Linked DNA regions of Cricetulus griseus. The protein of the gene in region 7 interacts with the protein of the main gene of each other region in a pairwise test. Links are inferred from orthologs where the notes say so. Each region holds a gene or a part of one and is shown on either strand. Other genes may lie near its edges.

Region 1 (3,203 bases), on a different chromosome or scaffold from region 7:
TGTGTGTGTGTGTGAGACCAGCCTCTGGGGACAGGAGCAGTAGGAGAGGAAAGGGATGGATGGAGGGAGGGAGGGTGAGAAAGAAACAGAGAGAGGGAGAGAAAGAGAATGGGGAGTGGGGTGGTGGTGGTGGTGGAGATAGAGAATGGGAGGTGGGCAGGGCCCTTTTAAAAGGGAACAACGGAGTGAATACCCACAGGTGGCATATTCACTAAATGCTCTTAGTGGCTGCAGCTGAGGGCATACCCTGTCAGGACCTCAAGGACAGGCCAGTACAGAGGGAGGCGCCTCCGAGGAGGAAATGCCTCCTTGAGATCCAGCTGTAAGGCATTTTCTCATTTAGTGATCAATGGGGGAGGGCCCAGGCCATGGTGGTGCCATCTCTGGGCTGGTACCCTCTGGGTTCTATAAGAAAGCAGGTTGAGCAATTCAGGGAAAGCAAGCCAGTAAGCAGCACCCTCCATGGCCTCTGCATCAACTCTGGCCTCTGGGATGTTGCCCTGTTGGAGTTCCCGTCCTGACTTCCTTCAGTTGTGCACAGCGATGCGGAAGTGTAAGCTGAATAAACCACAGTTGAGTTTTAGTAATGGTGTTTTGCTGAAACAATAGAAACCCCAAGACACAGGGGATCCCCAGAGCAAACTGGCTAAAGAAACAAGCCATATAAGTTCTGGGTTTTTGTGAGAGGCTCTATGTCATTAAAGTGGAAGAATAATGTAGAATGATCCCTGGCATCCACCCCACATGCATGCACACTGTGTGTCTTCACACCACACATACACATGCGCGCGCGCGCGCGCGCGCACACACACACACACACACACACACACACACACACACACACACACAGTTATTGTGAGTTCAAGGCCAGCCTTGGCTACACGAGACCATGAAAAAAATCTGAGGCAGGGGATAAAGTCTCACAGTCCTACCTGCTGAGCCATCTCACCCACTTTTTCTGCTTTTCACCTCGTGAGTTTCATAGGGTTGCTTACCGAGAGGGGTCCTTTTAAAATTACTTTAACTAACTTTAAGTAACGCTAGGCGTTACTTACTGATTCCTGGGGTGTTCCTGATTAATCTGTTTGTTGATTATTTATTTACCTCTTTCAGCACGTAGCACAGGATGGTTCCATGGTCCCAGCATATAGCATTACAGGCACGGGCCACCGCATCCTGTCCAGGCTAGCTTTGATAATTTCAGAAACCTGAGCCTCGGAGTCAGGATGTGCAGCTCAGCACACACTGTGGGAGATGGTGAGAGTCCTTGTCTCAAAACCAAAATAGGCGACAAACACCCAAACAACAGTGAAAACAAACAACAACAACAAACAAACAAACAAACCCCTGGGATTTGATCCTTAGTACCACAATTAACAAAAGAAATGTGAAGAGAATGCGCGCTCGGGAGAAGCAGACAGATCACAGCCTGGAATACAGAGCGAGCAAATCCTGCTGTAGCTAGCCTGTGAGCGCAGAAGGGAAGCGTGTTTTTGGAGCCCCGCCTCAGCACAATTGTTGTCCCACTGGGCACAAACTTCAGGTTTTGACTGGTCCTTTTAATAAAAAAAAAAAAAAAGAAAAAAGAAAAACCCTTCTAAGTACATGCCACTTTGTAGGATGAGAGCTGGGGCGTTCACCCAGCCTGCAGCTTCGGCAGAACAGCTCAGGTTCTGGAGATCTAACCTGGGCTAGACTACTTGGTAAGGTTTGAGGCCTCCCCTCTTCCTTCCTCGAAAATGGTTGCTCCCACACCGCCCGGAAGTACTCGTGGTCGGGTCCCGGGAGCGGACTGGTGGCGGGACATGGAGCTGCGGGGTCGTGCCGGCAGTCCAAGCGGAGCACTGGCGTCCCCGGAACCGGCTCAGGCCTCGGTGACCCTGGCGCAGCTGCTGCAGCTTGTCCAGAAGGGCCAGGAGCTCCCGGGTATAGAGAAACCTCACATCACCGTGATCCCCGGCGAACCCACGGCGTCGCTGCTCCCCCGGAGGCCCAAGCCCTGGGAGGACGCGGGCTCAGCCGCATCATCCCACACCACCGCCCTAGACGCGTGCGCGCCATCCCCGACCGTCGAGGAGCCGGCCTGCTCAGCCCAGCACGGCGGAGGCCCAGCGGGTTCCTGAGCTCGAGGGCTTTTGCAGCCGTGATCCAGAGGGCGTGACTGGGTCCTGCATGAACCTGAGGGTCTGGACAGCTGCTAGCTTTACTCATCTTTCTGCATCTGCTGTGATTTGTCCCAACCAGACCCAGTCCTCCCGGGAGACAAATGTTGCCCAGGAATTTCGGGGTCGGACGCCGAGTTTCAACTTCATACTTGTAATCTGTCTGCAGAATTGAAACAAGTCTATTTTACCACCTGCGGTGTCTCTTTCATTTGCCACAGTAACGGGCCATGACCTCCTGATGACACTGATAAAGTGAACTGGAGGGCCAAAAGCTAATTTTGGCTACTACTAATTTTGTAGTTATTTGGGTTTGATAGAACTCGGTTCTGAAATGATGCAACTGAAATCCTTATTTTGTCTGTTTGACTTCTGAGACAGGGTTTCTCTGTGTAGCTCTGTCCATCCTGGAGTTCACTCTGTAGACCAGGCTGCCCTCTGTAAACTTCCCATTTTATTTAAAGTTGAATGGCAACACAGCCCTAGAAACCCTGGATCTTGGAACCTGCTACTCCTACCACGTAGGTCCCAAAAATCATGCTCTTGGCCTGGCAGGGTTACCTACTGCCACCCTCAAGGCTGTAACAAGAGTTAGACACCTGGAGCTGTCAACTGCCACGTGGGTGCAGAGACTCACAACACCAATGCTCTCCATCCCAGCCCCTTCTTAAGACTGTTGTCAGATGGTGGGGCTGGCGGAAAAGGCCCTAGCCACTGAGCCATGCTTGGGCTCCTGAAATCTTTTTTTTTTTTTTTTTGAGACAGTTTCTCCACATAGCCCTGCATAGTGTTCCCTCATTCAGTACAATACACATGGAGTGTTCCTCCAAGCCTGCAATGCAGTTTTTTTTGTTTTTGGTTTTTTCGAGACGGGGTTTCTCTGTGGCTTTGGAGGGTGTCCTGGAACTAGCTCTTGTAGACCAGGCCGGTCTCAAACTCACAAAGAGATCCACCTGCCTCTGCCTCCCGAGTGCTGGGATTACTGACATGTGCTATCAGCATGGGCCTTGACTCATATTTCTCAGTTTCAGTGAGCCAAGG
Region 2 (4,751 bases), on a different chromosome or scaffold from region 7:
TTGCCAAGTCCATGGGTAGACAGGGTATAGAGGAGTCACAAAAGGTATTGGAGGAAGGGAATGTCTCTCAGGAAGCAGGCAACCACCTAGCCACATGTGAAATTCAATGTGATAGGCAAGGGTGAGGGTTCAAGGCCTGGAGGACTCATAGTGCATCCTCCACCATCATCCCAGGAGACTGAAGCCCAGAGGGACAGGGACTGGTCTTGGTCATGTGGCAGATTGGTGTTGGAACCAGAACCCTCTCTAGAAATACAGTATGGCTCAAGGGGCCCATGGCCATTTCACCCTGATGCACCCCAGGATGCAGCTCACCTCTCTTCAGCCTTGATGGCTTTGTCCAGCTTTTGTGACAGCTTCTGGAGATGCTGGATTCCAGCCCCCACAGGCTCTAGGTCACTGTCAGACTCACTGAACACAAGAGGATGCAGGGGTTAGCAAGAGCCCAGAGCAGGGGCCAGGCAACCCCGGGTGACTGGGAAAGCCTCACTAGAGCCTCACTGCAGCATGTGACATGCAAACCTGTGAGGCTGAGCCATGGAAAATTATTTTGTAGTCAGATGACGGTTGCTGCTGGCCTTGCACCAGTGCCTGGGATTTCTAGATGTTTCCTATCTAGAATGGAGTAGAACTCATCTCCTGTCCCTTTCACAGGTAGGGAAACAGTTCTGGAGAGGTTTTTTCCCCTTCAGGTCCTCACTAGCTCTGGGGCAGATCTGAGCCAGAACAGGGATATGACAGGTCAGAGTGTCCTCACCCTAGGTAACACTGAGGAGACTTGTGGGACAGAAAGGGAAATCACACTGGGCTCGGAGACTACTTGCCTGGGAGAGCAGAGAGGTTCTGTGGAGGAACAGGGGCTCTGGAGGGCAGCCTCCCTCCTTAGCCGATGACGTCGATGGGCATGTGGACCCATCTGGCCAGAGAGGCGAGGATGTCCCCCGACTCTGGCATCCCGGTTGGCCCTGTATAGCCGAGTGTTCTTCTGGCTCAGACTGGGCGGGGATCCTCTGTCCTTCTGGGCTCCTCGCTTTCTCCTCACTTTGACCTGTGTTTGCATTAGCCACTTGGTGCCACTTTGGCAGGACTCCTGGATCCTCTGTGATGGGTTCATGTGGGAAGGTTAGCAGAGGTTAGCAGAGACAGGACCAAGGTGGGCTGCCAGCCTTTTGCTATCCCTCCATCCTAGGGTCTGTCCCACTAATACAGTCTGCTGTTAGTCTTAAGAGTGAGTATGATTCCCTATAAGACCTTCCCAGAGGCCCAGCGCAGGGACACAACAGGTAGTCGCAAGAAGATGGCTCCACATTTGAAGCCCTCTGGGAGAGACTAACCCAGACAATGAGGGAGGTACAGTTTCCTGACTACTGGACCCCTTGCCATCCCCCTCTGCTCTCATTCCTTCTCTTCCCTCCTCCATCTTAGTCCACACAGATCCTTCAATGACAGTTCTGATCATAACCCCTTCTATGGCTCCCTATAATCTACAGGGCCGAGTCCCAACCCTTGGATCTTTTACATGTGGCCTGATCAAACAGTTCTGCTTAGATTGCCTTTGTCTTGGCAAATCAGAGCCCAGAGGTTGGAGCAAGGCCCAAGGTAAGTTTGATGAGTTGGGTGACCTTAGACAAGATGTCACATTTCATTGCTCTGAGCTATATTTGTTGAAAGCAATCTTAGGGCTCTTCCAAGTCAGAGCTAGACTTTGGCTAGGAGGCCTCTCTGTAGCATTGCCAAGAGCCTCTGCTCTCTCTCCACACCACCAGAATGCCCAGGGAGATGCCCCCCCCCCCCCGCTTCTCTCGTTGCAGGTATTCTCATTTTCATAGCTGCTGCCCTTTCCAGGGCACACCTGCCCGCATCTTCCACTCCAGGGTTAAAGACCTGTGTGGGGTCAGTGAGATAGCTCATCAGGTAGAGGTTCTTGCCACCAAAATTTGACAACTCGAGTTTGATCCCCAGAATCCACAAGGTGGAAGGAGAGAACGTACTTCTGCACGTTGTTCTCTGACCTCCAGACGAATACCATTACGTGAATTCTCCTCCCATAAATAAACGCAAACATTTAAATAAACATTAAAAAAGATGTCTGCTCCTGGGCACACTGCACCCAGACACCACCCCTCAAATCTGCCTCTGAACCGCTCAAGAAGTTGCACCCTTCTGCAAGCCCTGCTCCTCTGCCTTTTCCCACCAAGTAGCTGACAGCCAAAGTGAAATAAGTAGTCTGACTGGGAGAATCTAGACAGGGGTCATCACACACCATCCCTGTCCCCACTCACTGTGACTTAGTCCTCACACCAAGGCCACTTCAGCATCCAGGCTGGACTCACACCATCCTCCTGGTCCTGCGCCTCCATATACCGCCCCTTTCCCGAGTTATCTTGGAAGTCTTTATTCTAGGGAGTCTTTATCCACTAAGCTTGAGACTGGCATCTCTTTATAGTTAGCCATTTCTTGCAATTTCCTCTCATAGGGCACAGCAGGTTACCTTGCACGGAGAGCATCAATTTCTTCCATGAGATTTCTCACTCACTCACTGATTTGTTGGAAAACTATTATGTGCCAGAATGACTGAGGGTGTTGGGGGAAACTGCCAGGACCTAATCAAACTCCAAGACCCCACTGACTCTATATTCTTGGGGCCTTCCTGAGGATAGCACACTTCTGTAAACAAATGGCTAGTGGTGTCACTGTTACCTGGGACATAGCACCCAAAGCACTTTTGGCGGAACGAGCTGCAGCCTGAAGACCCTGCTGCTCTGGCTCTGGGGTTTCCAGGCGTTTCCAGGAGGGGCCAGTGCCGAGGTTGAGGCTGACAGCTCTCAGTGGCAGCCTCCTTTGGAACTGTCTGCACAGGGAGCCCAGGGGACCAGTCTCCTGATGGCCCTCAGCAGACCGGGTCACCGTCTTCTCTAGATGTTCCTCTTTTAGGAGTGATCTTCTGCGCATGGAGGCCGTCATGCCCTGCCACTGAGACGCCATGTGCTTGGTCCAGTCTCCTCTGCTGGTTAGTTCCTGGAGAGGTCAAAAGGTCAACAGAATACTCCCTGGCCCTATTTCCCAGGCGTCAGAGACCCTGGGAACTGGGGAAGGGATGAAGTGGAACATATCTGGGTGGGCCTGTTGCGCAATTGTGGATGCCAGAAAGATGACCATGGCGTCATGGTCAGCAGCTGCCTCGACTGTAAGGCGGCAAATTGTCTGACTTCCATCCCAGCCTCCTTCACTAAGGCTCAGCGGAGAGGCACAGAGGTTACCGAGTCTCGGCGCTTATGCAGGACACCATCAGCAAGCGGCTCTTTCACAAATTCGTGCTCCTCTATGGAGCAGACTCTGGCCACCCCGCCAAAGCCTCGAATCCGATAAGGTGCTTTAAATTTCCAGACACCGCCTTTGCGTTGCGGGTCCTGTCTAGAGCTCCTGGCCCGCTCCGCTCTCAGAGCTGCCCGTGAGTCCCCCCCGCACCCCGCCCCCCAAGCCCTTCGATGTCCCCGTGCGCTCACCTCCCTTTCTGATACCGGGGACCCGAAGATCAACACCCGCTCCTCGCCCACCGCTGCAGATTTGAAACTCCGCGCGGCCCCGCCCCAGCCTGGTGCTCGCAGCCCATTGGCCCTATCAGCCCTCCGCCGCCACCTCCCCTGAATTCCGATTGGTCTGTTTCTCTCGCGACCATAAATCGTGCTTTGGGATTGGCCGGGCCACGCCCATACATCTCTGGGGACCCCCGCCTGGATCGCAGCAAAGGTTCCAGCAGTCAGTCACCGCCCAGTCCCCTTGCCACCTCCCAGTGGTCGCGCTTTGTCCATCGCATGTCCAGGCCCTTCCCAGAGCCTACGGTCAGGCTGCTCTGCGGGATGCTGCGAGAGCGCAGGTCACGGCCACCCAGGGCATCCCTTCCGTCCTTCACCCCACCTAACTTCCCGCATCCAGTAGTTTTGTAGAATGTTCGGCTGGGACTGCCGAACTCTGCGTTCCCTGGGAAGTTTTGTTTCAAATTCCCCCGCCTGAACCTCTTCCTTCCTGAGAGACCGCCCAGCCCCTGTCATTTCCTCAAACTCACCACCCGGCTGGCACCCAAGAAAGCACATCTCAGAGGAGGGGGCAGACTGTAGAACCACCTCTCCACCCGTTAAGTCAGGTCCTCCGCTTGGTCTTGCCCCAGACATCTTTCCATCTTTCCCTTAGTTTCCCAGCAAGCTTAAAACAACAACAACAGCAACAACAACAACAACAACAACAACAACAACAACAACAACAACAAACAGCCTGCTATGATTTCTCCCATGTACCAGTTTTTATTTTTGTTGTTTTGATGTTCTGCTTTTTTATTTATTTTATTTATTTTTATTTTTTATTTGAATTAGAAACAAGATTGTTTTACATGACAATCCCAGTTTCCTCTCCTCCCTCCTCCCCTGCCACTCCCCCCCCAACTAAAACCCTACCTATCACATATCCTTTCTGCTGCCCTGGATGGTGAGGCCTTCCATACGGTGTCATCAGAGTCTATTGTATCCTTTGGTATAGGGCCTAGGCCCACCCCTTTGTGTCTAGGCTCAGGGAGTATTCCTCTATGTGGAATGGGCTCTTGAAGTCCATATCTATGCTGGGACAATGCTTTTTTATTTTTAAGATTTTATTTTTGTTTTTAATTATGTGTCTCTGTGTGGATTCATGCATGGGAGTGTTTGCAGGGTCCGGGTGGGGGTGTGAGGCAGAAAAGGAAGTCAAACCCTCCGGAGCTG
Region 3 (3,081 bases), on a different chromosome or scaffold from region 7:
CTGAAGCACTCATGTTTGACCAGAAATTCTTCTTGTTGTCTTCTCAGTGGAGAAGATTTTTTCCCGACATCCAACAGTCTTCTCCATGGGACACATGTGCCTTCCTCACAGGAAATTGACAGGATGGTTTTAGATCTGGAAAAGCAGTAAGTACTCAGAAGGGCAGTCTAGAATGTTCCATATTTCACAAGAGAGAGTGGGTGAGGTGTGGATCTAAGGCTGATACTCTTAGATGACTTAAAGATCACAGAGCTGACACCAGCTCATTTCTGACCCCAAATCTGATGGTTTTGAAGCTGGACAGCAAGTAACAGGCTAAGCCCATAGGAATATTGATGCAATCAGACTGTCACAGTGCCCATCAGCTTTCTGTCACTGGAGCAAAATGCCTCCGAGAACTTATTTTGGCTCCCGGTTTTAGAGCTCAGTCCATTGTCTTGGGCTCGTGGTAGCACAGTGGGTCATGGCAGAAGTGCATGCTGGGAGGCCTAGTCAGCTCGTGACGACTAGGAAGCCGGCAGGTTGGTGGGGAGAAGGTGAGTCCTGATGTCCTTTCAAGGGCACACCCTTACAAGAGGCGACCACCCGCCTCTTATAAGCCTGACATGAAGGTTCCGTCACCTTCTAGTATCCCAGTCAGCTGGACCAGGCTTCAATACCAAGGCCAGGGGTAGGTTTCCAATTCAAATTAATAGTTAGCATTTTGTTCCTGTTTGTTTAGGACGGGCCTCATGTAGCCCAGTCTGGGTTGGAACTCAAGTAGTGCAGAGATCGCTCCGGCGATATTTATTACTTTTTTTTTTTTTTTTTTTTTTTTTGAGATAGAATTTCACTATGTAGGCCAGACTGGCCTCAAGCTCACAGAGATCCTCCTGCCTCTGCCTCCCTAGGCAACAAACCATATTTGTTTCTGATAGAGGGGACTGCATTTATGTTTTAGGACCATACAGATGGTCCAGGATGCAGCGGTGTATACCACACACTCTGCACAGTGCTTGTCATCACTGATAGAATTGTTAGGGGGCTTTAGCCAAGAGTCACACTTTTTGTCCCTATTTTTAGCATCTTTAGAAACATTGTTTTTATTTTGGATTTTTTAAAATAATTTATTTATTATGTATAGAACACTCTGCTTCCATGTGTGTCTGCACACCAGAACAGGGCACCAGATCTCATAACAGATGGTTGTGAACCACCCTGTGGTTGCTGGGACTCAGGACCTCTGGAAGAACAGTGCTCTTAACCTCTGAGCTATCTCTCCAGCCCTTGTTTTGGATTTTTGAGACAGGTTCTCATTATATCGCCTAGGCTGGTCTCCAGCAGGTGGCTGTCCTCCAGCCTCTGCTTCCTGATCGCTCAGATTACAGGTGTGGGCTTCCACGATCTTAACGTGTTCAGAAGTGCTGTGAGCACAGGCTGCAGTTGCTGGGTCGCTTACACTGAGCTTCTGTTAATTAGATCATGACCTGAAGCTGATGAAAACTGCTCCTGCTTTTTTTTTTTTGTTGTCCCTGAAGGTGTTGTATTATAAATGCTGAACTTTTTGTCCATGTTTTAAGATCAAATAAGAAGGCAGTTAGACCAGCCCTGGTGGTCAGCGCCTTCAATCCTAGCGTTTGGGAGGCAGTGACAGGTGGATCTTTGAGTTTGAGCTTGAAGAGGTCTGGAGAAGGTGATTCTGAACCTCCTAACTCCCTCCCTTCCCCCAGAATTGAAAAGCGAGACAAATACAGCCGGAGACGACCCTACAATGACGATGCTGACATTGACTACATCAATGAGAGGAATGCCAAGTTCAACAAGAAAGCAGAGAGGTTCTACGGGAAGTACACAGCAGAAATTAAACAGAACCTGGAGAGAGGAACAGCTGTGTGAGCCCTTGGGAAACTACACAGAAGCAGGAAAATGCTGGCAAATTCAGACTTCATGTGTGTCCAGTAAAGGAGCGCTTCCCCTGTGCCTCCCTCCCCACCCGGTATTCTGAAATAAAAGTCTTTTCTCAGCTTCACTCCCACATACATATGTTCACATTTTCGTGCTTGAATGTAAATGTATTTCTTGTAGTGATGTTGTTTTGTAAAAATCTAATTTGTATAAATCCTAATTATTATTTTTCTATGTATTGTAAATGTGCATAACCGTGTAACCTTTTAATCACTTGGGGCTTAGATGGTTCGTGTGTGCAGGTGCAGTCGCTCCTGCTTTGGGTGTCATCAGGAAGTGGACAGAAGCTACAGTTGGGCTCGGACTGGCCAGGTGAGGACAGAGAAACAGAGGCCTCAAGACAGACGCTCCTGGGGTTCTGGCACTGTCTGCTGGGGCTGGGGTCAGAGGTCATGACTGTTAGCCATGCACATTCCGTTTTTAAAGAACAATAAAATGCTTTGGAATAGAGTCATGAACCATGTCTAATTTAAACAAGTGCATGTGTGCATTGCAGGCTTGGGAACATTTGTTACATGTTTCAGTATAGGGGCTGAGCGAGGGTCAGCTCAGTTTCATGTCTCTGAAAGAGAAGAACTTAAAAACTTATTACAACTGTCTAGAGAGAAGGTTCCTCCTGTTGGCGGAAATGCTAGGTGAGACCTTCTCTTAGAAAACAAAACACCAACCCTGGAACTCAGCACATTCCACAAATACTTCACTTTTAATGTTTGAAGATGCCATTGATGACTCATTACTCTTGTTAAAATTAACTTTTTTTCTGTTTAGACATCTAGCCAAAGCTGGCCTTGACCCCACTAAGCTGAGGGTGATCTTGAATTCCTGATCCTCCTACCAAGTGTGCACCCACCACTATGCCCAGGTGTGCTTTGTGTGAGTGGAGGTCTGAGGACAACCTTTGATGTTAGTCCTTGCCTTCCTTGGACTCCAGGCTAGCTGGCTGTGAGCTCTGGACAGTCTCCTGTCTGCCCCATCTTAGGCATGCTAGGGTTACAGACATGAGCACTACTGTGTCTGGCTTTGCATGGGTTTGGGGGTCTGAAATCTGGTCCTCACACTTTCATGGCAAGTGCTTTATCCTGTGGTGATATATTATTAATCATGACTTATTTTTTAAAGAAAAAATAATTTTTTTAA
Region 4 (4,503 bases), on a different chromosome or scaffold from region 7:
TCATAAAGGTAATTACTTTCATAAAGGTAAGGGGACTTCCCCTTACAGGTTTCCTTTAGGTAAGACTGGCCCTTGAATATGGGAATGCTGGTTTGGGAGGGCCGGCTGTGGCCCTGTGCAAACACTTAACCCACAAGGAGAGTCAATGAGTTGCATTAAGGATCCCAGACCAAAGCAATGTTACATGAACACTGATTGGGTAGTAACTTACAGGCCAGACACAGGTCTAAGCACTTATAATTAACTCACTTATCTTCACCAGTATCATATAGAGCAGATACTCATTTTACAGAAATAGCACCGAGAATTTCAGCGCCAGTCAGGAAGTAGGTGGCGATGCCTGAATTTGAACCTAGACATTCTGGCTCGTCTAACCTCAACATAGAAACTAACGTGGGATGAGGAAGCCAGCCTTCAGGGCCAATGGCTAATAGAAGGAAACAGACTCAGGTGGGAATGCGGGGAATGCAAGGGCAGGGCTTCTGCTTAAAATGGATTCTGGGACCCTAATAATAGCTTCCTGACTTGTGCCAGGCATTGTGCAAAGGGACTTTACATTCAATCTTCAGTAAGTCCTTTGAATGAGACACTATCATTACCTTATTTCATCTTACTGATGAGGAAACTGACCCACAGAAGCCGCCCAAGACGGAAGGGCCAAGCCAGGCCAACCCTGGCCGGGGTGGCGCCCACGTGGCGTTAAGGAAACAGGGAAAATGGTGGGGGTGTGGCCAGAGGGCCGGGGGCGTGGCCGAACGGGGCGTGACCGCAGACTTGGCGGGGCCTGGGGCAAGCGAGGTTGGCGCGCAGCCGGGAAGGTTTAGGCGGGGTCGCACCTGTTGCGCGACTGCCCCACGGCCCCGCCACGGGATTGGGATCTCTAATTGATTCCCAGAAACTAGTGAAAGAACCCTAGGCGAATTCCGGGTTCGGTTTTCTGTGGAGCACGTGGCCTGCTTCCTCTTGAGTGCGGGCTGGGGGTCGCGACACCGGGGTCTCCTGAGGTCAGTCTGGCAGCTGAAGCCCGTGGGAGTCCGCCTTCGTCCAGCTGGCCATTTTGAGAAGCAGCCTTCCTTCCCGCCTCAGTGCGGGTGCAGGGGCCAGGGGCGCGACTTCGCCCCTGTGGGGCCCTCTCCTCTCCTCAGCCGCGCTTCCCCGCGGTGTAGACTAGGCAGCCTCCCTGGTACCACTCGGGACTCGGGCAGTATGGCCTCAGGTAAGCGTGTGGCGCGTGTGTTGGCGTTAGAGGGATCCCGGGACAAAGGTGCCTTGTCCGGGTGACAAGAGGGTCAGGTCTTGCTAGGAGTGTGAGCAGACCCTGGAAAGGTCTAGGGAAGCAGACCTTGAGTGTGCGGGCAGAGAGACAAGCAGAGGAGCCTGGGGTCTTTCCCACAGACCTCAACAAGACCCTGCCTCCGGCTCTTCCTGTCTTCCTAGGAGGACTTCCAGCTTCTGCCGGTCAGTGGAATTTTCCCAAGACAGGTTCCTCCCTTCTGGGCTCGAATTCTCAGTTCAGCCTCCTTCTCCTGGGCTGTCCCTAGAGCTGGGGTCAGATGGAGAAGAAAAGAGTGGGTTCTGCCCCCGAGGCTCTGGGTTTTCTTGAGTACGCTTGCCCTCTCCCTGGAGGAAATGGGTTTTGAGGCTGGAGAAGCTCAGGCTGTATTCTTATTATTTTTCTCTCTGGCTGAGCCTAGCCTGGACTTTGGCTTCTTTGCCTTGAAGCTTTGGCAAGGGATGAGGGTTCCGGAGATGGGGTGAGGGTGGTGCAGAGCTGCGAGCTGGCGCTGCTCCATCTGTTTTCTTTGCGCCCCCACCCCCACCCCAGTCCCAGCCACCATCAGTCACGTCACTCTAGGGACTGGAGTGGGAAGGGAGGGATAAGGGGCAGGATGGAGGCCCCACTCCCCGAGGTTGCCTAGACAACATCAGAAATCGTGGCCAGGGCCTCTTCCGCCTGCGGGGCGCTGCTTCCTGCATCAGTCACTCCCGCTGGGGGCGGGGCGGAGGAAGGGGTTGGATGTGAGAGAGGTTGGCCCCAGCTGGTGAGGTTCCTCCGCTGTAGCCTTGGCCCCAGCCATGGCATCCTATTCTGGCCCAGGCAAGTCCAAGGCCAAATATCCCTTTAAGAAGCGGGCCAGCCTGCAAGCTTCCGCTGCTGCTCCAGGTAAGTGTTCTTGGCTTCAGGCATGGGGCTCCTCCATCTCCTCCTGTCCAGGCCACCTAGTGCCTCAGAGAGGGCCCCCTTCTGCAGCACCCTCTCTGCAGTGATGCCTCTCTGCTTCGGTTCTAGGGCTGACTGACTGGGTTGGGTGGCGCAGGGAGTGGGGGGGGGGTCTGAGGTTTCCATGTCAGGGATGCTGCCCTCCGTAACAAGGAGTGGGTGTGGATGTGTGTGCACAAGAGGCGTATATGCACACGTGTCTGCTTGTGCAGATGCTGAGACTGTGTGTGAAGTGTGTGAATGAAGTGGGGAGGGTGTGGGACTGATGACTGCTTTGCGGACTGGCTACCCTGTTTGGTGCCTGTGCCTACAGCAGGCAGGCTCAGGTTGTTACTCTTTCCAAGGCCCTAGATCTAGAACTCCCTCATCGGTGAGTGACATCTGGGGTCATGCATTGCTGGCACATACACCAGAGGTAGGGCTCCGTTGCTACTATCCTTGCTGTTTGCTTGTTCCTGGTCTGTGTTGTGAGCCTCTTCAGGAGAGCGGCAGCCCTTGAGATGTCTGGTGGGCTGTGTACCTTGCACCCTTGGGTTTGGCTCCTACTATGTGGGCATCTCCGCACCATTTGCAACTGGTTGTGTGGTGGCGAGTGTCCATCCTGGTGAGGACTTAGCTACTTGAGCTTGTGCTTCCAGGGGTGTGGGTGTCTGCAGCTCTCAAGTGTTCTGGCTAAAGAAAAACGCCTTGGTGACTGGATGTTGTTAACCCCTCATAGCTCTATTTACACCCTGACTACCCTCCTTTAGCTTGTTTTTATGCTGCCAAAAATGCTTGGCTAGGGCTTTGTGTTGTGCTGACCTGTGTGCTCAGATCTGTGTCTCAGACTGTGTGTTTGGATCTGAGTCTTCCGGGTGTATGCCCTGGAGCTAGTTCTGTGCTGGTTACTCTATTGCTGAGCTAGAGACCCTTAGATGGTTAGACCCTGAGAGCATCCTGTCCCTGGGGTTGAGGCCTAGTGAGGCAGTCTTGATAATGAGTGAGGGGCTAGTCAAGAGGAAGGACTAGGCACCAGAATCTTGGAGCTGATGGGGTGATCCCCCCTTGGCGTTGGGCTGTATGTATCATCATATGTATGTTGTGATGCCAACTTTTGGCACTGAACCAGGGAGACGGGATCTGGCATGAGGGAGTATGGAGGTTGTTGCTGGTGTGTCACCTCTGGTGAGTCTAGCAGTTGTTTGCTTTTGTGTGGCAGACTAGGAAGATGACTGTGGCTGCTGGAACCCTTCCTGCTCACCCAGCCCTGCTCTGTAGGCCCAGGGTTACCTGACAGGAAAGGGTTTAAAATGAGGGCTTTTAACTTCATTTCTGCAGCTCTGTGGTCTACCTTCAGGGACTTAGAAGTGGTTGGTGGCTGGGTGTAGTGATGCACACCTGTAATTAGCTAGTTGGGAAGCTGAGGCAGGAGGATCATGAGTTCCAGGTATGCTTGGACACTTAGTAAGAGCCTGCCTGAAAGTAAAACTAGAAAAGGGTGAGGATATAGCTCGGTAGTAGAGGACTTCCTTAGCACACACAAGGCCTCAGGTGGTCCCAGGAATGCAAAAGACAGAAAACAAAACCCCCAAATGGTCTGGAGCCGTCTTTAAGAGCATAGGTAGGATCAGGGTGGTTTGTTTTGTTTGTTTGTTTCTCTGTGTGGTGTCCTAGAACTTGCTCTGTAGACCAGATTGGCCTCGAGCGCAGAGATATGCCTACCATGTGCTGCAATTAAAGACATGCACCACCACTGCCTGGCCTATGATCTAGGTTCTTGATAATCAAAGACTTGAAACCCTAGGTTGGGTGGGTAGGTATTGATCTTTGCCTCTTCCTCCAGTTCTTTCTTGCAAGGGAGAGCCTCTCTACCCCTACAATATCCCTTTCTCTTCACTGCTTTCCCCTACTTAGCAGCCTTTACCCCTACACTGGATTCAGAAGGCCTCTCACCCTCCTCAATGAAGGGTCTCCATTTAAGTGTTTGGAGCGTCCTAGGAATTTCTGATTGTAGCCCCATGGGCTCAGAGTCCTAAGCTTTACAGAACTCTTGTAGATCATTCCCCTGTGAGTCCTGGGGCTGTGGCCAGATAGGACAAGGCCACTTCTCACCCATTTATAGCCTCTGTCCAGAGGTTAAGGCAAGCAAATAAACAAAAGTAGAGTCCTATGTGTTTTCCAAATGCTGCTCCCATGTTCCAAGTTACTCTTCCTGAGTAGTTTGCCCCTACCCTGATAATGGACTTGGGACTGGCTTGTATGCTAAGAAGCCTCTGTAACTAGCTCCTACCCAGATTAGGCCA
Region 5 (4,657 bases), on a different chromosome or scaffold from region 7:
CAAGGACATCCAGCCTGGAAAACCTCTCTGGAGAATGTGGTTTATCCATTCTGAAGGCCCAGTGGAGCTTAGCTACTCTGAGAGCAGGATGTTCCCACCAGCACCCAGTGGGCCTGGCACTCAACAGGTGCTTATTTAGCAAAGGTTTCTTGTTAAATGTGTCATCTTTTCCCATGAGTCCATGACCCCTATCAGCCCAGAGAACTTGGAGTCAATTTCCCTACTCACAGCCCCACATGTGCAGACAAGCCCTAGCTTTTCACCAGTGGCTCACACATGCCTGGTCATCTGAGAGTGACATAAGTAGAGGCACTGTAGTGAGGAGTGCTTGGTGAGAACTTGCCCTTAGTTGCTCTATCAGCATTTTAGCCCCTTAGGATCCTGGGTGGACCTGGTGGCAGTAGGGGGTCACTGATAAGCCAGAGAAAGGCTATGAGTAGGGGCTGTCCATGGGGTCTTACAAGACGGGGGCGATTTGTGGGGTAAGCTTCTACCATGTGGAGTTAGGTTTGGGGATGATAAGATGTAGCTTTCCATCTCAAAGCCTGCTGGCTAGGCCTGGGATTCTGAATGGACAGATTCCTGAGGTAAAGATGAAGAGCAGGCCAGGAACCAGGCCTCAGGGTCCTTAGATACCTCTGCCACAAAGCTTCTATGGCTGCTTGTCCCACTCCTCAAGAATGAGACAGTCGTGAGCTCATTGGTTAAGAGCATTGGCTGCTCTTCCAGAGGTCCTGAGTTCAATTCCCGGCAACCACATGGTGGTGGCTCACAACCATCTGTAATGAGGTCTGGTGTTCTAGCCTGCAGGCTGACATGCAGACAGAACACTATATACATAATAAATAAATGTAAAATAGAAGAAAGAATGACACAGTCTTCTGTTTAAATGTTTGTATTTCCGGGGTTTATTCCCCCTGTACCAAGCTCTAAGTCTTAGGCCACTTTATTCCACCTCCATGGTCTGCACCGTTTCCTCCAGAAGCTCCAGGTTCAGAGGTCTTACTTCCTGGGTCAGGACAGCTGTGGTTCCAGGAGCAAAGTGGTAACGGCCAGTTCTAGAAGGGAGGAGGGCCAGCCTTTCAGCATGTATCCTGTCCTGTTCTGGAAGACCTCCCATTTGCCACCCTGGCTAAGACTGCAGTCCCCCTATAGTCCTCCCTCCCCCTGCTCCTACCTCTGCACTGGCTTTGTGGGAGAGCTCAGTGTCCTCAGCAGCTGGGCGCCTGTTGCAGTGATCACACATGCATCCACACTGCCTCCAGAGCCCAGGTCACCCAGGATCCCTGCAGTGATGGCTTCCACCAACAGCTCTTGTGCAGCCTCCAGCTGTGGTAGTGTGAATGACACTAAATGAACCTGGTGTTGTCTCACTCTGAGGATTTTGTTAATCTTGAAGCCTAGACAATTTGCCATTTGTGCAAGCCCAACCTCCTTTCCCTTCATTCCCTTAGCTTCTGACTCCCCCTCTCCCAAAACCCTGTGTTCCCTCCACCCACTGTCCTGTGTACAAACTTCTCAGTGTCCCTTACACTTATAAGGCCCCTTCCAGCAATCCTCCCACCCACCAATGTAGTCCTCTGTCACTGAGTTTCTCTCTGGGTCTTAGTTATCTCTATTTCTATCCCACTCCAAAGTCCAGACCTGAAACCTCATATACCACTGGGCTTTACCTCTTCCTTCCGTTAATGATCCTTTGTGGGCTTCAACTAACCAATCTAACCTTGATTCCCGACTGGACCTTCAACATTATTCAGTCCCTACTCAGGTGTTACCTTCTTCCCTACAAGCCTGCCTTATTTCTATATTTGACCAGGGTTTTTTTTTGGGGGGGGGAGGGGGGCACTCCCCACCTGTGAGCATGAAGTAATGGGCTGAAGTTGCTCACCGTCATGTTTGGCTGGAACCTGTCCTCCAACAGTGCCAAGGCTGCATCCTGTCCAGAGCCTGAAGGTGGAAAGGGACATCTGAAGTCAGCTGTAGCTGCATCTGGGAAACAAACCTTGAAGGTAGGATGGCAGGGGAAAGTTCGTGGGGAAAGGATGGAAGCACTCACCCAGGGCAGTAAAGGGCAGACGGCTGTAGGAACCGTGGGGGTGCACGCCATAGAGTTGAGGCCCGGTCAGATCAACCCCGCCCACGATCAGTGATGCTCCCACGTGGCCTTGGTACCTGTGGACCAGTGGGCGCTGATATTGCCAGCTGGTGCCAGGCCCGCCCCTTATGCCACTTCTCGATCTGAGTCCCACCCCTTCCTGTGACCTGGCGTTCTACAATTGCTTCTTCCGGAACTCAATTTTGGTTAGACCCCGCCTGGCTTCTTCCGGTCTCTCTTCGGTCCCCCACTCCTGTCGACCCCGCCTACCTGCAGATGACCCCTTCACCCTACTTCCTCACCGGAAGAGTGTCTGGCGCAGGATACGGGTGACCGTGGCCACCCGAGGCTCACGGCCGGTGGACAGCGCGTGTAGCTCCATCTTGGAAGCTGCCATCCGCGTGGTCATCTCAGTGTCCGCAGCCACTCCAGCCCCACAGCAGCTGAGGGGAAAGGGACGGCGGGTGTGGACAGGGATGTGCAGGGGCAGACTAGGGCGTGACAGTGCAGCTTTTGTTTGAGAGTGGGGGCTGGGCTGGGGAATTCTTACTAGATTTTGGGGGCGATGAAGTGGATCTTCTCGCAGCTTTTGTCCACCACGACCGAATCGTTAGTGGCCCGCGTATCCGCGCCCAAGATAACTCCATCCTGCAGAGGAAGAGCCCGGCCTTAATGCCCACCCAATATTCTCCACATTGGCGCCATTCTAGCCCTCCAGGCCTATCACCCTGCTCACTCGGAACACAAGTCCCGCGATGGTAGTCCCGGTTTTGCGTGCATGAGGGACCCGAAGGCCCGAGAGGACCTGTTCCAAGGACGCATTCCTGTAAACAATGGGGTGACTCGCATTTCAGCTCTGATTCTAGGGAGGATCCTTGAACCCGTCCCCAAAACACCAAAAAGAAAAAAAAAAAAAAAGGCCTACAGTTGAGCACCAGCTGCTCGAAACCAAATCTCCACTCCCCCTTCACCTCTGGCAGTTCTCGAAAGAGAAGCCTCCTCTGTGTTCCACTGCCTGCTTCAGCATCTCGGGGCAGGAAAGCCAACTGAGATCCGGGGGTCGATGGGTGGACCAGACGAACAGAGTGAAGCCAGGGGATCAGAAAGGCGTCTGCTTCGGCTTCTGTGTTTTTTTTTTTTTTTTTTTTTTTTGTACACTTCCCACTTTCACTTTCACCTCCACCCTAGTTCAGAGGCTAGTATGTTCTGTTTCACTTTCATCTTTTTCTTCTAGTCCCAGGTAACTTAAGGAAGTGCATGCTGTAACCCTGGCCAGGATGGTGCTCCTCTGTTCCTCCATTCCCATCTCATCTGACACCCTGCCCCCCCTCCATGTGAGCACTGCAAGTACATGTAGATATGCAGGCAAAACACATGCACATACAATGCTTTAAAAATAAGTATAAATTGCCGGTCGTTGGTGGCACACGCCTTTAATCCCAGCACTCCGGTGGCAGAGGCAGGTGGATCTCTGTGAGTTCGAGACCAGCCTGGTCTACAAGGAGCTAGTTCCAGAACAGCTTCCAAAGCCACAGAGAAACCCTGTCTCGAAAAAAACAAACAACAACAACAAAGTATCAATTAAGTCCTTTTAGGTTTAATTATGTTTATGAGTGAATGTGTCAACATGCATGCTAGGGGCCCACCAAGGTCAAAAGAGGGCTTCATGAGGGTACTGGGAACCAAACCCAGGTCCTCTTCAAATGCAACCAGTGGTCTTAACTTCTGAGCTATCTCTGAAGCCCCAAATTAAGCCTTCTTTAGATGAATTGTCATTCCTTCAGATCCTAAACATTTTTCTTTTTGGTTTTTGAGACAGGGATTCTCTATGCAGTCCTGACTGTCCTGGAACTCAATCTGTAGACCAGGCTGGCTTGAATGCAGAGATTAAAAGCCTGTGCAATCACTGCCTAGCTCTAAACTTTTATTTATTTATTTATTTATTTATTTTGAGACAGGGTTTCTCTGTGTAGCCCTGGCTATCCTGAAACTAGTTCTGTATACCAGGCTGGCCTCAGATTTACAGAGATCTGCCTGCCTCTGCCTCCCAAGTGCTGGGATTAAAGGTGTGTGTCACCACTGCTCTGATCTATTTATTTTTATGTGCATTGGTGTTTCAACTGCTTATATGTCTTTGTGAGGGTATCAGATCCCCTACAGCTGGAGTTACAAACAGTTGTGAACTGCCATGTGGGTGCTGGGAATTAAACCTGTGTTCTCTGGAAGAGGAGCCAGTGGTCTTCTGAGCCATCTCTCCAGCCCCTAAATGCTGGCTATGGAATCCCAGAGCTTACTTAAAAAAAAAAGAAAAACAAAAGATTTATTATAGTGTTCTGCCTGCATGTATAACTGCAGGCCAGAAGAGGGCACCAGATCTCATTATAGATGGTTGTGAGCCACCATGTGGTTGCTGGGAATTGAACTCAAGACTTCTAGAAGAGCAGCTCTTAACCTCTGAGCCACCTCCTCCCCCCTTTGGTTTTTCAAGACAGGGTTTCTCCGTGTAGTCCTAGCTGTCCTGGATCTCACTCTGTAGACTAGGCTGGCTTTGAACTAAGATCC
Region 6 (2,830 bases), on a different chromosome or scaffold from region 7:
CAGATGAATCTCTCACTGGGAGAAGGATCCATCAGTGATGGGTTTGGGGGCAGGAGGAAGTGAGATGGGGTCGGTGATAAAGTAGGGGGAGCTGTGGGCTTCAGCTCACTTGAGGCAGCCTGAAGCTACAAAGGCCCTGCAGCCTTCCAAGAGGGTTCTGACCCTCCTGCAGTTCCTGCTGGACTGGCATGTTCAAGGAACTGAGGGCTGAACTTGAATGGTCCCGTGGAGAAACCCGAGTCTGCAGACGCTGAGGAAGATGAAGATAAATGGTCTCACAGTCAGTATGAACATCAAGTCCTTAGTAGTGGCGGTCCCAGTCAGTCTCTGGCACTGTTCCAGGATTCTGACAACTGACACACTGGGATTCTGTAGGGTGGAGAGTCCAAGGGTTTCCCCCAAGGGATCTTCACCAGGGATCTGAGAAGTCAACAAGGCTAGCTCGGTTGTCATCAGCAGGCCGTCACAATCCAAAAGAAGCCGCCAAGATGCACCGTCCATGGAGAACAGCTCTCACAGCGTCAGGAATCTCTGAGACAGGTGGACTGGGCTGCCTGCAACCCCCAATGTCTCAGGATCCTAAAGATTTAGAGAACAGTGGGATCTAGGAACCCCCATAGGGCTGGGTGAGCAGAGGGGAGGGTACCAGGGTCAGAGGAAGGAGGGTTTGGGAGTGTGGGTGATAGGGGCCTCATGGATCTTACTTAACGCTTGACTTTGCGTCCAGCGGAGTTTCGTACACCTCGACGGTAGAGAGACTGCTGGTTGCTGTTTAGCGGACAGTACTTGAGCGTGTGAGCCTGGTCCCCAGTGGCCCCACACAGAGGACACACATAATGCCTCAGGATGGGACACACCACGACACCTTCAGATGTCTTCAGCTGGTGGGAGGCATAGACGTGACGAGACTCTCCATTGTGTTTGCAGAAGTTGCATAGGGTAGCCAGGCTCCCGTTGACCCCCTGCTCACTCTTCTCCTGCCTGAGGGTAGACACCTCAGCACCCTCATCCTCCAGTCTTTGGCTCCGGCCCTGGATTATCGCCAGTATCACTTGGCTCAGGTTAAAGTAGTCCTTCCACCTGTCAAAGGGTGGCAGCTCCATGACACCTCTGTGTGGCTGGTGGCCGTGGGCACTAGGCAGGGCCAGGGGGCCAGGGACTGTGAGGTCAGAGGCCCAGAGCAGCAGGCTGTTGTGGAGCAGAGAGAAGGCACACCCCCTTATAAATACTCCCCTAGAGCCCCCTCTAAGCATAGGTGGGGCTTAGATTTAAAGGGCCCACTTCCAGCCCAGGGCTCTTGGCTAGCTCCAATCTCCCAGGGAGACGGGAAAACTGCTTATTTGCAGGTGGCCCCTCCTCCAAGGCACTCTGTGTTTTCTGGACAGGAACTTCTAGTCCGTGGGCCTCAGTTTCCCTCCTGTTCAGTTTAGGGCTTTGCTCGTGTCTCTTGCTCATTCTCCTTTCCTTCTTCCCTCGGAGTCATCCAGAACCTTATTTATGATTTGACTGAATGTTTTGGTTTGGTTTGCTTTGGGTTTTGGAGAGAGAGTCTCACTACGCATCCCTGGTTGTCCTGGAACTTGCTACGTAGACCAGGCTGGCCTCAAACTCAGAATCTACTTCCCCAGGTGCCAGGACTAAATAAAGGCGTGCACCATGTCCAGCTTAATTTTTTTTTTATTACCTGTATTTACTTAATAGTGGGGGCATGCCACAGCTTACATGTGGGGATCGGAGGACAACTTGCAAGAGGCAGCTCCTTCCCCCAAGTGGATTCCAGGGACCAAACTTGGGTCGTCAAGCTTGGTAGTAGGCCAAGCTGAGCCATCCGCACTGGCCCATGTGGGTTTCTGTTGTGTTTGTTTTTATTTTGAAACAGTGTTATGTCTTGTTACATAGTCCATGACCCTGAATCTCCCATTCTTCAATTCAGGGCCTAGGAACAAGCTTCTGTGTCCTGCTTCAGTCTTGAGAGTCCCGAGTCCTGAGACGACAAACCAGGGCTGGGCAGTCTGCTCAGTGGTAGAGGGCTTTGTCCCCAGGTGGTTTGCCTGTAAACCCCACACTTGGGAGGAGCAACAGTAAGGATCACGAGTTCAAAGCCAGTCTTCGATACTTGTAGCCAGTTTGAGGCCAGCCTCACCTATAAAAGCTTCTGCCTCAATTGACAGAGGCCAGACACGGCTCAGCAGTTAAGGGTGCTTAATGCTCTTACGTATGATCCAAGTTTGGTTCCCAGCTCCAAGGTCAGGCAGTACACAACCTCTCTGACCTCTCTGTTACCCGCACTCATGTGCATATAGAGATGCATAATTAAGAATAATAAGCTGGGCATTGGTGGCGCACGCCTTTAATCCCAGCACTGGGGAGGCAGAGGCAGGCAGATCTCTGTGAGTTCAAGGCCAGCCTGTTCTCCAGAGCAAGTGCCAGGACAGGCTCCAAAGCTACACAGAGAAACCCTGTCTCGAAAAACCAAAATAAATAAATAAATAAATAAACAAAACAAAAATTACAGCCCAAATCTAGGATGTATTTCCAGAATTCTCTTTTGAAATTGCTTTTTGAGATGTAGCTTGGGCTAGCCTGGAACTCCTGCCTCACTTCCCAAATATTGGAGGGACTGGCATGAGTCACTGGGCTTATGGACCTAGTATGCTTTTTCTTTCAACATTTGTGTGTGTGTGTCGAATATGGTTGTGTGTTGTATATGTGTGTTTGTATATGTGTGTTGTATTTGTGTGGTGTGTGTTGTATATGTGTGTGTTGTATGTGTGTATATGTTGTATGTGTTGTGTTTCTGTATGTTGTATATGTGTTGTGTGTGTTGTGT
Region 7 (4,546 bases):
AGCTGGCAGCATGGCAGAAGTTCAGCCTCCACATTTGTAGCCAGATCTCTGCGCCTGTGGCAGATGGAAAGCCAATGTCAGCATGTCAGCAGGTGGGCTTCAGGAAGCTGTCCCTCCCTGAACATCTGTATGTTGGAAGTGTTAACTACTGATTCCTGCAGTGTGGACTGCAGAATCTAACAACCGATTCTTTCTTCCTCAGGAGGCAAAGAGCCCTGATCACAGAGATTCCAAAGGTGGGAGTCTCTGTTACTCAAGTACCTCAGAACTACTGTGTTTGTTAGGGTCATCCTGTGAAAAGCATCCAGCCCAAGCCCGGAATCCAGAAGGTGTCCAGAGTGCCATTTTATGCCTAGGGAACCTGTGGAGACTTGGGCTGGACCTTGACCACTCTAGAAACATTACTTCCCAGCCTGTTTTCCCACGGATTATGGGTTTTCTGCTTCCTTAGTTGGGGCCGTTTTTAACTAATCAAATAAATGAATGAATGATAAATATCACGAATGTTGGGCTGGAAAAATAGCATGGTAGTTAAGAGCATGTACTTCACGCTGGGCAGTGGTGGCACACACGTTTAGTCCCAGCACTTGGGAGGCAGAGGCAGGAGGATCTCTGTGAGTTCGACACCCGCCTGGTCTACAAGAGCTAGTTCCACAACAGCCTCCAAAGCCACAGAGAAACCCTGCCTCGAAAAACTAAAAAAAAAAACAAAAAAAAACAAAAAAAAAAACATGTACTTCCTGAGTTCAATTTCCAGCAACTATGTCAGGTGGCTCCAGGTTAGAGCCTCTGTGGGTCCTTTGCATTCATGTGTGCACAGACTTATACATAGCATAATAGAATATAAATATTAAAAGAAAGATCGGGGCTGGAGAGATGATTCACTGATTAAGAGCATTGGCTGCTCTCCCAGAGGACCCTGGTTCAATATCCAGCACCCACATGGCAGCTTTCTATAACTCCAGTTCTAGGGAATCTGACACCCTCACACAGACATACATTCAGACAAAACACCAATGCATATAAAAATTTTTTAAAAAACTAAAAAGAAATACCACACGGATCTGTACTGTAGCTAAACATTGGAACCATGGTGTCTGGGGCTTGGAGAAAGAGTCACAACGGGGATGTCACAGGCAGACTTGCCAGCAAAAAACTCAAGACACATAAAATGGCAAAAAAAAAAAAAAAAAAAAAGTGGTCAGGTCTCTAGTAGGTCAGAGAACGCATGGCTGGGTCTTTAGAAGGCGTGGCAGGTGTGGCAGGGTGTCAAGGTGGGGTGGGGGAGAGGGGCAGGGCCGGGCGCCTGGACCCGAGTCCCAGTCTGTAGGCCTGCTGGGAACCGGCAGCCTGGTGAAGGAGGAGTGTCTGAGTCTCTAGGCCCCGCAGGGGAGCTGTGGGCGGGTCTCTAGGAAAGGGAGGCGTGGCCTGATCTCTAAGTGGATCGGGCAAGAGTAGGCGGGTCTGTAGGCGGAGGGAGGCGTGGCCTGACGGCCTGGCTGTCCGGGAAGGCGGGGTCGCGTCACTGAGGAGGAAGGGGCGGGGCGTGATGTGTCTTGCCGGAAGCGAGAGGTGTTTTCGGCACCGGAAATACAGCGGCAGGGGCCGAACGGCTTAAGCGTCCTAGCTAAGGTACGCTGTGAGACGCTGTGATGGCGAGTTCGGCAGCCGCAGCCTCCTTCCTTGCTCCGACTCTGGAGCAGCTCCGGCACCTGGCAGCGGAGCTGCGGTCACTTCTGCCTCTAGTGAGGGGTGAGTTGTGGGAATCTGAGGCCCGGGGCTCCGGGTAGGGCGGCGGTCGGGCGTCACGTCAGGTGACGTGTCTTTTGCTCACCTGTCTTTTGCTTTGGTGGTCCGGCCTCCCACGCTACACCCTCAAGTCGGCGAAGCCCAGGAGACAGCCGAGGAATTTAATCGAGAGATGTTCTGGAGAAGACTTAGTGAGTTTCTCTGCCGTTGCAGACTCTTCCCTCCTCACTCCTGCCTCCTAACCTCTTTCCCCTCTGTTGTCCCAAGAGGAGGTGACAATCCCTCCCGGCCTCGGGACGATTTCTGGAGTTGTTTTGGAGTTGTTTATGATGATAAGGGTGGAGAAGGGATGCGTTATCTTAAAAAATCCGTGTAGTGGTTGCAGCTTCCACCTTTAACACTAACTTTGGTATCCGCCGCCTCTACCACCCCCAGATGAGGCAGCAGTGAACCTGTCAGGGGAAGCCACGATTCTGACCACACTTTTCTCCCGACTTCCACTGCCGTCTCCACGGGTGAGCTTTACTTCCTGGGATTTGTGTGCTGCCTCTAGTTTTCTTGTCACCCTTTACCCTCAAGCCACGTTTATTTTCTTCATTTATTTAATGAGATTATAGTTCTTACCGCATAGGATTGTTGTGAGGACCAAATAGCCAAGTGCAAACGGTAGAAAGGTCTTTCAAATTCAGTCAGGTTAGTTCCTCGGAATTTTAAAAGCTCTTTTTGATTTATAGCTGTTTCTCATACATACTCCCCATCTGACAGATGAGCTAGTAAGTTTAGAGACTTGGATCAAGATTAATAAATGGTGGAGGTGGAGTTAAAAGCCTACAAAGTATCTAAGCAACAGCTATTGCACAATACCCTTTAGTATTAAACTGTTTACCTTTTTATTTAATTACTAATATGTGGATAAAGTTCAAAAGATACCAGAGTACACTAAAATACATGTATATATCTTCCCACCCCAGTTTATCTTTCTATTTCGTTCCCATTTCCTTCTGTATTACTCCATACAATTTGTTCTATGTATATATACATCGCTCTGTGTGTGCTTCTTTTTACACAGTGGTTAGATACTATAAGCATTGTTCTAGACCTTTTAAAAAGTAATATAGCTTAGAAGTTGACTTTTTTTTTTTTTTTTTTTTTTTTTTTTTGGTTTTTCGAGACAGGGTTTCTCTGTGGCTTTGGAGACTGGAACTAACTCTTGTAGACCAGGCTGGCCTCAAACTCACAGAGATCCGCCTGCCTCTGCCTCATGAGTGCTGGAGTTAAAGGCATGGGCCACCACCATCCAGCTAGAAGTTGATTCTTAATGACACATAAAAAAGTTGCTTAGTTCTTTGTAATACTTGATGTAGAGTAACTATAGCTATAAACAATAGCCCAGGTGGACATTTTAAACTGTTTCTAACTTGCAACTATTGTAAATGGCACTGTAGTGAATTGTCAGTTATAATCTTTGCATACATATATGTATTAATAGAAAAAAATTCCAGAGGTGAACTTACAGGAACAAAGAATTAATGCATTTTAAATAATCGTTTATTATGTAACCAAAAGTAAAGCTGGATATTGGCTGTGATCAACCAACATGTGAATGCCCTGTGCCATATTTTTCTAGAGCTACATGTACTTCAGAGTAGTTTATTTTTTTGTTAAATGTTTATTTCATGTCTATGAGTATTTTGCTTGCATGTATGTGCATATGAATTCTGTGCTTAGTATCTATCCATGGAGGCCAGAAGAGGGCACTGGATTCTCTGGAACTAGAGTTAAGGATGGTTGTGAGCTTCCATGTGGGTGCTGGGAACTGAATCTGGGTCCTCTATAAGAGCAGCCAATGCTCTTAACCTCTGAGCCATCTCTCCAGCCCAAAGAGTAGGTTATTTTATGACGACATAGTCGTTGCCTCAATTTTCATAGTAGTTTCAATAACTATGTATCCAGATGTTGTATTTTTGTTTATTTTTTCACTCACATATAACTATACAAATACTCTACTACTGAGCTACACATGCATGAATGTTTTCTTTTGGTTTTATTGGTTTTCTAGAGACATGGTTTCTCTGTGGAGCTCTGGCTGTTCTGGAACTCACTCTGTAGATCAGGCTGGCTTTGAACTTGGAGATCTGTCTGCCTCTGCCTCCTGAGTGCTGGTATTAAAGGTGTGCGCCACCACCTAGTATGAATGTCTTAATGTGATAGAAAGTTCCTTTTACAACATAAAATTATAAAAATACATACCCCTCTTTCCTGTACTTTTTGTTGTGTTTTTTTTTTTTTTTTTGTTTGTTTGTTTTTCCAGACAGGGTTTCTCTGTGTAGCTTTGGAACCTATCCTGGCACTTGCTCTGTAGACCAGGCTGGCCTCGAACTCACAGAGATCCACCTGCCTCTGCCTCCCTAGTGCTGGGATTAAAGGCATGAGCCACCGACGCCTGGCTCTTTTTGGTTTTTTGAGATAGGGTTTCTTTGTGTAGCTCTGGCCATCCTGGAACTAGCTGTATAGACCGGACTGGTCTAGATCTCAGAGATCCATCTGCCTCTGCCTCTGCCTCTGCCTCTGCCTCCTGAGTGCTGGTACTGGGATTAAAGGTGTGTGCCACTACTGCCTGTCCCCTGTGTATCTTAAAACAATGGTTTTCAAATTGTGGGTCACGACCCTTTTGTTACGGTGAGACAACAGGCGTCATAATAGCAGATATCTAGCATATCAAATATTTACATTATAATTCATAACATTAGCAATGAAAATATTTTTATGGTTGGGGCTACCACAACATAAGAAACTG

What was found.
Region 1: the proteins of Ccndbp1 (region 7) and CUNH6orf226 interact in binary tests that used the Homo sapiens proteins (3 or more experiments, as listed by UniProt). The two-hybrid records come from large-scale screens. The link is inferred for Cricetulus griseus from reciprocal best matches to the Homo sapiens genes CCNDBP1 and PEX39.
Region 2: the proteins of Ccndbp1 (region 7) and Pimreg interact in binary tests that used the Homo sapiens proteins (3 or more experiments, as listed by UniProt). The two-hybrid records come from large-scale screens. The link is inferred for Cricetulus griseus from reciprocal best matches to the Homo sapiens genes CCNDBP1 and PIMREG.
Region 3: the proteins of Ccndbp1 (region 7) and Syf2 interact in binary tests that used the Homo sapiens proteins (3 or more experiments, as listed by UniProt). The link is inferred for Cricetulus griseus from reciprocal best matches to the Homo sapiens genes CCNDBP1 and SYF2.
Region 4: the proteins of Ccndbp1 (region 7) and Ampd2 interact in binary tests that used the Homo sapiens proteins (3 or more experiments, as listed by UniProt). The two-hybrid records come from large-scale screens. The link is inferred for Cricetulus griseus from reciprocal best matches to the Homo sapiens genes CCNDBP1 and AMPD2.
Region 5: the proteins of Ccndbp1 (region 7) and Psmb10 interact in binary tests that used the Homo sapiens proteins (3 or more experiments, as listed by UniProt). The two-hybrid records come from large-scale screens. The link is inferred for Cricetulus griseus from reciprocal best matches to the Homo sapiens genes CCNDBP1 and PSMB10.
Region 6: the proteins of Ccndbp1 (region 7) and Nanos2 interact in binary tests that used the Homo sapiens proteins (3 or more experiments, as listed by UniProt). The two-hybrid records come from large-scale screens. The link is inferred for Cricetulus griseus from reciprocal best matches to the Homo sapiens genes CCNDBP1 and NANOS2.

What each region holds. Positions count from the first base shown.
Region 1 is NW_023276806.1:256,187,410-256,190,612, forward strand, and holds CUNH6orf226 (uncharacterized protein C6orf226 homolog), read left to right. Parts: upstream 1-1,639; 5' UTR 1,640-1,739; coding exon 1,740-2,123; 3' UTR 2,124-2,357; downstream 2,358-3,203. UniProt on the Homo sapiens protein: May be a peroxin involved in the PTS2-mediated protein import pathway.
Region 2 is NC_048600.1:85,882,469-85,887,219, reverse strand, and holds the start of Pimreg (protein PIMREG), read right to left. Parts: upstream 2,986-4,751; coding exon 2,701-2,985; intron 1,100-2,700; coding exon 825-1,099; intron 412-824; coding exon 316-411; intron 1-315. UniProt on the Homo sapiens protein: During mitosis, may play a role in the control of metaphase-to-anaphase transition.
Region 3 is NC_048595.1:18,338,283-18,341,363, reverse strand, and holds the end of Syf2 (pre-mRNA-splicing factor SYF2), read left to right. Parts: intron 1-47; coding exon 48-146; intron 147-1,709; coding exon 1,710-1,875; 3' UTR 1,876-2,394; downstream 2,395-3,081. UniProt on the Homo sapiens protein: Involved in pre-mRNA splicing as component of the spliceosome.
Region 4 is NW_023276806.1:49,049,339-49,053,841, forward strand, and holds the start of Ampd2 (AMP deaminase 2), read left to right. Parts: upstream 1-1,479; 5' UTR 1,480-2,076; coding exon 2,077-2,164; intron 2,165-4,503. UniProt on the Homo sapiens protein: AMP deaminase plays a critical role in energy metabolism. Catalyzes the deamination of AMP to IMP and plays an important role in the purine nucleotide cycle.
Region 5 is NC_048596.1:182,223,246-182,227,902, forward strand, and holds Psmb10 (proteasome subunit beta type-10), read right to left. Parts: upstream 3,239-4,657; 5' UTR 3,123-3,238; coding exon 3,067-3,122; intron 2,920-3,066; coding exon 2,832-2,919; intron 2,744-2,831; coding exon 2,646-2,743; intron 2,539-2,645; coding exon 2,398-2,538; intron 2,173-2,397; coding exon 2,057-2,172; intron 1,948-2,056; coding exon 1,889-1,947; intron 1,330-1,888; coding exon 1,178-1,329; intron 1,059-1,177; coding exon 947-1,058; coding exon of another isoform or gene 930-946; 3' UTR 880-929; downstream 1-879. UniProt on the Homo sapiens protein: The proteasome is a multicatalytic proteinase complex which is characterized by its ability to cleave peptides with Arg, Phe, Tyr, Leu, and Glu adjacent to the leaving group at neutral or slightly basic pH.
Region 6 is NC_048602.1:28,382,308-28,385,137, forward strand, and holds Nanos2 (nanos homolog 2), read right to left. Parts: upstream 1,104-2,830; coding exon 705-1,103; downstream 1-704. UniProt on the Homo sapiens protein: Plays a key role in the sexual differentiation of germ cells by promoting the male fate but suppressing the female fate. Represses the female fate pathways by suppressing meiosis, which in turn results in the promotion of the male fate.
Region 7 is NC_048599.1:57,429,684-57,434,229, reverse strand, and holds the start of Ccndbp1 (cyclin-D1-binding protein 1), read left to right. Parts: upstream 1-1,564; 5' UTR 1,565-1,652; coding exon 1,653-1,752; intron 1,753-1,880; coding exon 1,881-1,940; intron 1,941-2,184; coding exon 2,185-2,264; intron 2,265-4,546. UniProt on the Homo sapiens protein: May negatively regulate cell cycle progression. May act at least in part via inhibition of the cyclin-D1/CDK4 complex, thereby preventing phosphorylation of RB1 and blocking E2F-dependent transcription.